Mus musculus: one gene and its partner. The protein of the gene in region 1 interacts with the protein of each later gene in a pairwise test. Links are inferred from orthologs where the notes say so. Each region holds a gene or a part of one and is shown in the gene's direction. Other genes may lie near its edges.

Region 1 (4,250 bases):
GTGCTGGGATTTCCAATCTGCCCCATCATACCGAGCTTTAGCGTATTTGTCCCAGAATTAGAAGCGATTTTCCCACTTTATTGCAAAGGGACCGGCATCATAGAAGCAAAGGAAGAGTGTATAGTGATGCTATGCGCTTCAAATGCTAAGGACAAGCTGGTTTGTTTCCGCTGCTACGCAGAGGAATGATGAAGGCGCACATCTGTCATTCCATCAGCAGGGAGATGGGTTTAAGGAGGCACAGGTGTTCACGTCAGTCTAGACTTTTTGAGACCATGCCTCAAAGAACAAAAAAAACCGTGAGCAGTGGCGCACACCTCTAATTCTAGCACTTGGGAGACAGGAGCAGGTGAATCCCCTGGTATCAAAAAGTAAAACAACCCATCAATGGCCAAGTGTGATGGCATTTTCTTCCTTCCTCTCCCCCCCCCCAGCTTTTAGAGCGTGTTTTTCAAGATAGGGTTTCTCTGTGTAGCCCTGGTTGTCCTGGAGCCCTTCTGAAGACCAAGCTGTCACTAAACTGAGATCTGCCTGCCTCTGCCTCCACTTCCCCAGTTTTAGAATGAAAGACGTGCGCTGCCAACCTGTCTGTAGAGCTCTATTTTAATACTAATATTTGGAAGACAGACAGATCCCGAAATTTGAGCCCAGTTTGGGTGTATGGTGGATTAACATACACGCCAAAAAAAAAAAAAAAAAAAAAACTTGTCTGGGCTGAAAGATAACTGCAGCCGGACTTTTTGATTTCGCTCATAGAAGGGGAGGCAAGGTCATGGGACCCTGACCTTAGTACCCAGCTGTTCCTCACAAGCAACTATATGCAATTTTGCCCTAGTTGCCTGTGGTTTGGGGAGGGGCTAGAGGATACTGGTGAGGGGGAAGGGAAGGGAAGGGCTCTGTCTGTGCAGTATGAAATGAGGCTTCATTTCTGCTAGATGAAAACTGCCCCGTGTGTTTTTTTGCAGGTAGCAACACAACCACCACCACCTATGCTCTGCAAGCCCAATATAGTCGGCTTCCCCAGAATGCTCTGTGGTGGAATCATATTTCAGGTTATATATACTTCAGGCCTTTGGAGAAGGGTAGGCATTTTTTAGGTCTTCCCCAGGAGAGCAACTTCCTCTTTATTTTATTTTTGCGGTGGGGGCAGAATCTTACTATGTAGACCAGGCTGGGCTCTGCCTGCCTCTGCCTCCCAAGTACTAGGATTAATATTAAACTCATGTGCCACCATGCCTAGGAAAGAATTTTAACAAGGCTACATCCTGAGAACCTGTCTCACTAAAACATACATACATACATACATACATACATACATACATACAAGAAAATCAAAACAAAAACAAGTAACTCTAGCGTAGGGATCAAGTGACTATGGATGCGAGTGACCCCTATCCGCTCTGGCTCAGAGCGCCTCAAGCGAGTCAGGACTGCGCATGCGCCGTGGGAGGAGCCAAATTTTCGAACAGTCTTTCCCATAGCATAGATGAGCTTTGGAATGAATTCAGAAGTGACTCTACCTATATGCAATCCTCACTGCGCATTGGAACCGTTGTGGTAGCTTGGGAAACGTCGAACCCGCCCATGGGCAAGGGGCGGAATTTCCGGTGTGGCTCGCATTGGGAAAGCAGAACTTCCGGTGGCGGGTGGGTTGCCGGCTGCTGAGCAAGCTCCACTGTGATTCTGTTCCCCTTCACAGCATCCGAGGATGTCACAGCTTGGATCCCGGGGCCGCCTGTGGCTGCAGAGCCCCACCGGTGGGCCGCCCCCTATATTCCTGCCGTCGGATGGCCAAGCCCTGGTCCTCGGTCGGGGACCCCTGACCCAAGTGACGGACCGGAAGTGCTCCCGAAACCAAGGTGGGCACGGGAATGGAACTGCTGCAGAGTGGGATTGGAAGGAAGCAGGGGAGCCTATGCCTAGCCAGAAGCAAGACGAGGCATTATGGGAGGGACAGAGAGGATCTGGGAGATTGTCACCGGAGGGGAGAAGGACAACAGAGAGACGGTCGCTGGGCAGGCTACATCAGGCGGTGATGCATCAAGCCATGCCCAAGACCTCGGTCTACCCCATGTATCTCATGGGACAAAGCAGACCCTACAGATAAAAAAAATACCTGTTCTGGACAAGTCCGTGTCTCTAGCAATCCTAGGGACTCCGAAGTACCTGTTATTATTGAGGAATAAACTGGCTCGGGGGGGGGGGGGGGGGGCAGACACCCCTGTCATCCAGAGAATTGGGTGGTAGAGGCATGAGAATCAGTTCAAGCCCAGCCGCTAGTATGTAGCGAGTTCAAGGCTATCCTGGGCTACCTGTGTTGGGGGATTGAGGAAGGAAGGGAGAAAGTGCCTCTCTTACTTAAGTCCTAGGGAGAAAGTGCCTCTCTTACTTAAGTCCTAGTAGTAGACTGTAGTTGGCCACGCCCCTGTACGTGATGTAAACCCTGACTCCACCCCCTTACCCTCAGTGGAGCTGATTGCAGACCCTGAAAGCCGGACAGTGGCAGTGAAACAGGTACCAGTGTCTTGGCAGCGGGTAGCAAGGACTTGGGAGAGGGGCCGGGTAGATGACAACCCTTCAGAAGGCTGGTCAGCTTTCCGCTTTAACACCGTGCCAGACTAGAAGCCACTAACCTTTCAAAGTTCTGACTGGCCACACGAAGTGAATAGGTGGGAAGATTAAAAATTGATTGGGAGCTAAGGTATTGGATTTGGTGGGGCGGGGTGGTGCCAACCCTAGCTCCTCCTTTGTCTGCAGCTGGGTGTTAACCCGTCAACTGTTGGGGTCCAGGAGTTGAAGCCAGGACTGTCTGGCTCTCTAAGCTTGGGGGATGTCCTTTATCTGGTTAATGGCCTATATCCCCTGACCCTGCGTTGGGAAGAGCTCAGCACATCAGGATCCCAGCCAGATGCTCCACCAGACACTCCTGGGGATCCGGAGGAGGGAGAGGATACTGAGCCTCAGAAAAAGCGAGTTCGGAAATCCTCTCTTGGCTGGGAGAGCTTAAAGAAGTTACTGGTGTTCACAGCGTCTGGGGTGAAGCCCCAGGGCAAGGTGAGGCCGCCACCCCTGCTGCCACCCAGGCTAGCCAGTTAATGTAAAGTTTCCTGTGCAGCCCTGAGCTAGTCTTATCAAAGTTCCTGAGCCTCAACTGTTCTGTGCAGAGAAGACTGAGACCCCAGTGGTGCCGCCACCACTGAGGTACAGGGTACAGGTCAGGCCCTGTAATCAGTGGTGACCTTTCTTGGATCACTCTGAAATGAGGCCACAGAAAATTCACGGCCTAGTTTCCTGTGGCCACTCAGCCAACAGTGAGGTTTGTTTTTTTAAGAATTGATATGACCTGGCACTCGGGAGGCAGAGGCAGGCGGATTTCTGAGTTCGAGGCCAGCCTGGTCTACAAAGTGAGTTCCAGGACAGCCAGGGCTATAAAGAGAAACCCTGTCTCGAAAAAAAAAACAACAACAACAAAAATCAAAAAAAAAAAAAAAAAAGAATTGATATGAGCCTGCATGATTTTCTGTGTACTGTATGCAGGTGGCTGCAGAGGCCACAGAGCATTGGGTGCCCTGGAGCTGTAGTTACAGGCAGTTATGGGCCATCTGACATTTGTGTGCTCCTAACCACTGAGTCTAACCACTGAGCCATCTCTCCAACTCTTCCAACAAAGCCCTTTGCTCCTTCTGGGCTGTTAGTTCTCCAAGGAGATGCTCAGAGAAAAAGGATTTGTGAGACACTGGTTCCTACTAAAAAAAAAAAAACAAACAAACTGGAAGTGGAGGGCAGAGGACACAGAAGGATAATACTGGTATTTAAAGGCTGGTGTCTCCAGGTACACGCCTTCAGTCCCTATACCTGGGAGGCAGAGGGAGGCAGATCTCTGTGAGTTCAAAGCCAGTCTGGTCTGTAGAGTGAGTTCCAAGACAGCCAAGGCTACACAGAGAAACCCTTGACTTGAAAAGGAAGACAGTAAGCCTGTAAGGAAGGTCAGAGGTGACAGTATTGTTGTCCCTGTTGGTGATACCAGGTGGCTGCCTTTGACCTAGATGGGACCCTCATCACCACCCGCTCTGGAAAGGTCTTCCCCACTAGCCCTAGTGACTGGAGGTGAGGTGGGACATGGGAGGCGGCTGGGCTGGGTGCCCAGAGTTCTTTAGATCACAAGTCACCTGCTACTTCCCGTCCACCTTAGGATTCTGTACCCAGAGATTCCAAAGAAGCTCCAGGAGCTGGCTGCTGAAGGCTACAAG
Region 2 (3,500 bases), on another chromosome or scaffold:
GTGTCTGCTCTATGAGACAGCCAGACTTAAAATATTTTGACAACAAAGGTATGTATCCTGTTTTCCTGAATACTCTGTGTAACTTGCTTTTACAGAACCTAGGGATGACTCAGTGTGGGTAAGTTTCTGCTTACCATGCAAGACCCGACTCCTTTGTAGTACTACAGAAAAATAAGCAAAAGCTGCCTTTGTGTATTTTCTCTTGGGAACTATCCGAAAAGGTAGTTTGCGAGTTTATGGTTTCAAGACAGGAAAACATTTTTAATTGTTATAATTAAAAAAATAAGCTTTAAAAATCAAATTAGTAATTTCCATTTTTAAGCAAACTCTTTAAGTCCTTTTTAGTTGGCTAAGAGTTGATACAAATGGGACGTGATGTAAAGGTGGAGTGTTGGTAGTCAAGTGTTAGAAAGCACCTTGCCCACTTGTCTCAGCCTGGAGTGCTGATGGAGGGGAAGGAAAGATGGAGAGCGGCTGCTTGGTGTCCCTCAGTCTCACATTTTCAGTCGCCTGCTCCTTTCTAGAGCGCTGGTAAGTAAGTGGTAAGAAGATGCACCCGCTGCTGCTTCCCATCTGTGACAAAGTCGTAAGTGAGAGCCCATGTCTGACACAGAACTGTCTCGCATGCTCACACACAGACCTGCTCACAGACCTGCATCTTACACCTGTGGGAATTATTCACAAAGCTGTTGTGCTTTTTTAGTTGAGAGGCCTAAAAGAAGTATCATAGTAGTGAGCACATTTTATGTCCAGATCTTGGTTTATAATACCAAGGAACTAAGGCCCCTACAGACATGGCTGCTTCTAGATCTGGGAAGGAAATAGACAAGATGTGTTTGGATTCTCTTGTGGTGCTGGAAAATAGAGAAATATTAAAAAGCAAAATGACAGGCAGCATGGATGAACTAAAGGAGCACAAGAGCCAGTTGGAGGTGCTCTTGAGGGCTCTGGAGCTCAGCTGACAGATTGCTTGTCTACCACACATGAGGCCCTGGCTTCCACTTCAGCACTGAAGACAAAAGGAAAGCTCCAAATAGCCAAAACTGAAGTAATTTGAGAAAACATGAATCTATACTGTTATAAATGATATTGTGAATATATAGGGATAGAAGAGAAAAATTGTCTGCACAAAAGAATTCCATTTATATCAGTGTTCTTCCTTAGGGAGATGGGAACAACGCTCCACTTCTTAGTGTGGGCTTCACAGTGACTTCCAGGGAGAAGGGTAGGAGAAAGACAGTATAGAAACCAAAATGCCAGGTTGGGAGGGGCAGTTCAGCAGTGTGTACCCTAGGGTTCTGCCCTCCAGTAACTCATAATTATAATCTAGTCATGAAAAAAAAATAGGTAAATTTCATTAATGGGACATTACAAAATGTCTGTAAAGTAGTCCTTAGAACAGTCAGTTTCCAGTTACCTACAGAGACATGGTTAAATTTAATATGGGATCCAAAATGACACTGGGTAAAACCAATTAAGTCTGAATGAAGTATGGGCTTCCATTACTAACAATGTATTGGCACCAGTAGTCGTGTGTCAGTTATTAATAGTAACAAATGCCTCATATTCATATAAATAATTAATAGTAGGGAAATGCTTATGATGTATTAGGAACACCTTATACTATTTTCACAATTTTTCCCCTAAAACTCTTCTTTTAAAAACAAAGTCTATTAAAACACACATGTTGCCGTCCAGTTTCTCTGTTGACCCTTATTTCAGTTTCTGTGCTAAGTTGGAGAGAATGAGACTAGAGTAAAGGAATATTGATTCAATCTCACTCAGTACCTTAAGCTCCTTAGGATGTTCAGAGTGTGTTCTAATATAAGGAACATATAAACAAAGGCAGTGGGGTGCAGGTTATTCTGATATATTCTCAATGTCTTTAGCAATCTATAATAAGTAATATGTCCTTTCAAGGCTAAGTCTAAGTTGTTAGTTTCTATTGCTGTTAAAAAATAATATTTTATGATTCTTAATGCTTTGATATAAAATGTTTTTCCAAATTCTTCTTACAGATGATGATTCTGATCCTGAGACAGCAAATGACTTGCCCAAATTTGCAGATGGAACCAAGGCCAGAAACAGGAATCAGAGCTACCTGGTTCCCAGCCCTGTGCTTAGGATTCTAGACCACACTGTCTTTTCCACAGGTTAGGGGAACTCATTCATAGCATTTAGAATCTCTGGTTCAGATCAGCTAAAAGCAGCACATACTGTAACTTCCTTTCACAGGATTGTTTCTAACTAGGCTTATTAAGTGCAGTGCTACAGCAGTGAGGACGGCTGTTTCTAATGGGGCTTTATTAGCACAGTGTGACAGCAGTGGGGCTACTGTCTCTAATGAGTGTATTGAGCACAGGACTTCAACAATGGAATGATTGTTTCTAATGGGGCTTATTTAGTACAGTACTACAACTGTGGGTTTTCTTCGTTTCAGAAAAATCTACTGAAGTTGAGATCTGTGATGAAGAATGTGCCTCACCTGAGTCAGTGCATCAGCATACTCAAGAGGAGAGCCCTATAGAAGTTCATACCTCAGAAGACGTCCCAATTGCTGTAGAAGTTCATGCAATCTCTGAAGACTATGATATAGAGGCAGAGAACAATTCCTCTGAGAGCCTCCAAGACCAGGCCGATGAAGAACCACCAGCTAAACTCTGTAAAATTCTTGACAAGGGCCAGGCTTTGAATGTGACTGCCCAACAGAAGTGGCCTCTCCTGAGAGCCAACAGCAGTGGTCTCTACAAGTGTGAACTTTGTGAATTTAACAGTAAATACTTTTCTGACCTAAAGCAACATGTGATCCTGAAACACAAGCGCACTGACTCGAATGTGTGTCGGGTGTGTAAGGAAAGCTTCTCTACCAACATGCTTCTCATTGAACACGCCAAACTCCATGAAGAAGACCCCTACATCTGTAAGTACTGTGATTACAAGACTGTGATCTTTGAGAACCTCAGCCAGCACATTGCAGACACGCACTTCAGCGACCACCTTTACTGGTGTGAGCAGTGTGACGTGCAGTTCTCCTCAAGCAGTGAGCTCTACCTGCACTTCCAGGAGCATAGCCGTGATGAGCAGTACCTGTGCCAGTTCTGTGAGCACGAGACAGGGGACCCTGAGGACTTGCACAGCCACGTTGTCAACGAGCACGCTCGCAGACTGATTGAGCTGAGTGACAAGTGTGGCAGTGGTGGCCATGGGCAGTGCAGCCTTTTAAGCAAGATCACCTTTGACAAATGTAAAAATTTCTTCGTGTGTCAAGTATGTGGCTTTCGGAGCAGACTTCACACAAATGTCAACAGACACGTGGCTATCGAGCATACTAAAATATTCCCTCATGTTTGTGATGACTGTGGGAAGGGCTTTTCCAGCATGTTGGAATATTGCAAGCATCTAAATTCACATCTATCTGAAGGGATTTACTTATGCCAATATTGTGAATATTCAACAGGACAAATTGACGATCTTAAAATTCATCTAGATTTCAAGCATTC

What was found.
Region 2: the proteins of Pnkp (region 1) and Zfp639 interact in binary tests that used the Homo sapiens proteins (3 or more experiments, as listed by UniProt). The two-hybrid records come from large-scale screens. The link is inferred for Mus musculus from reciprocal best matches to the Homo sapiens genes PNKP and ZNF639.

What each region holds. Positions count from the first base shown.
Region 1 is NC_000073.6:44,855,696-44,859,945, forward strand, and holds the start of Pnkp (bifunctional polynucleotide phosphatase/kinase), read left to right. Parts: upstream 1-1,450; 5' UTR 1,451-1,524; coding exon of another isoform or gene 1,525-1,557; 5' UTR 1,558-1,699; coding exon of another isoform or gene 1,700-1,708; coding exon 1,709-1,859; intron 1,860-2,467; coding exon 2,468-2,514; intron 2,515-2,757; coding exon 2,758-3,054; intron 3,055-4,027; coding exon 4,028-4,107; intron 4,108-4,192; coding exon 4,193-4,250. UniProt on the Homo sapiens protein: Plays a key role in the repair of DNA damage, functioning as part of both the non-homologous end-joining (NHEJ) and base excision repair (BER) pathways.
Region 2 is NC_000069.6:32,517,092-32,520,591, forward strand, and holds part of Zfp639 (zinc finger protein 639), read left to right. Parts: coding exon 1-48; intron 49-2,018; coding exon 2,019-2,153; intron 2,154-2,440; coding exon 2,441-3,500. UniProt on the Homo sapiens protein: Binds DNA and may function as a transcriptional repressor.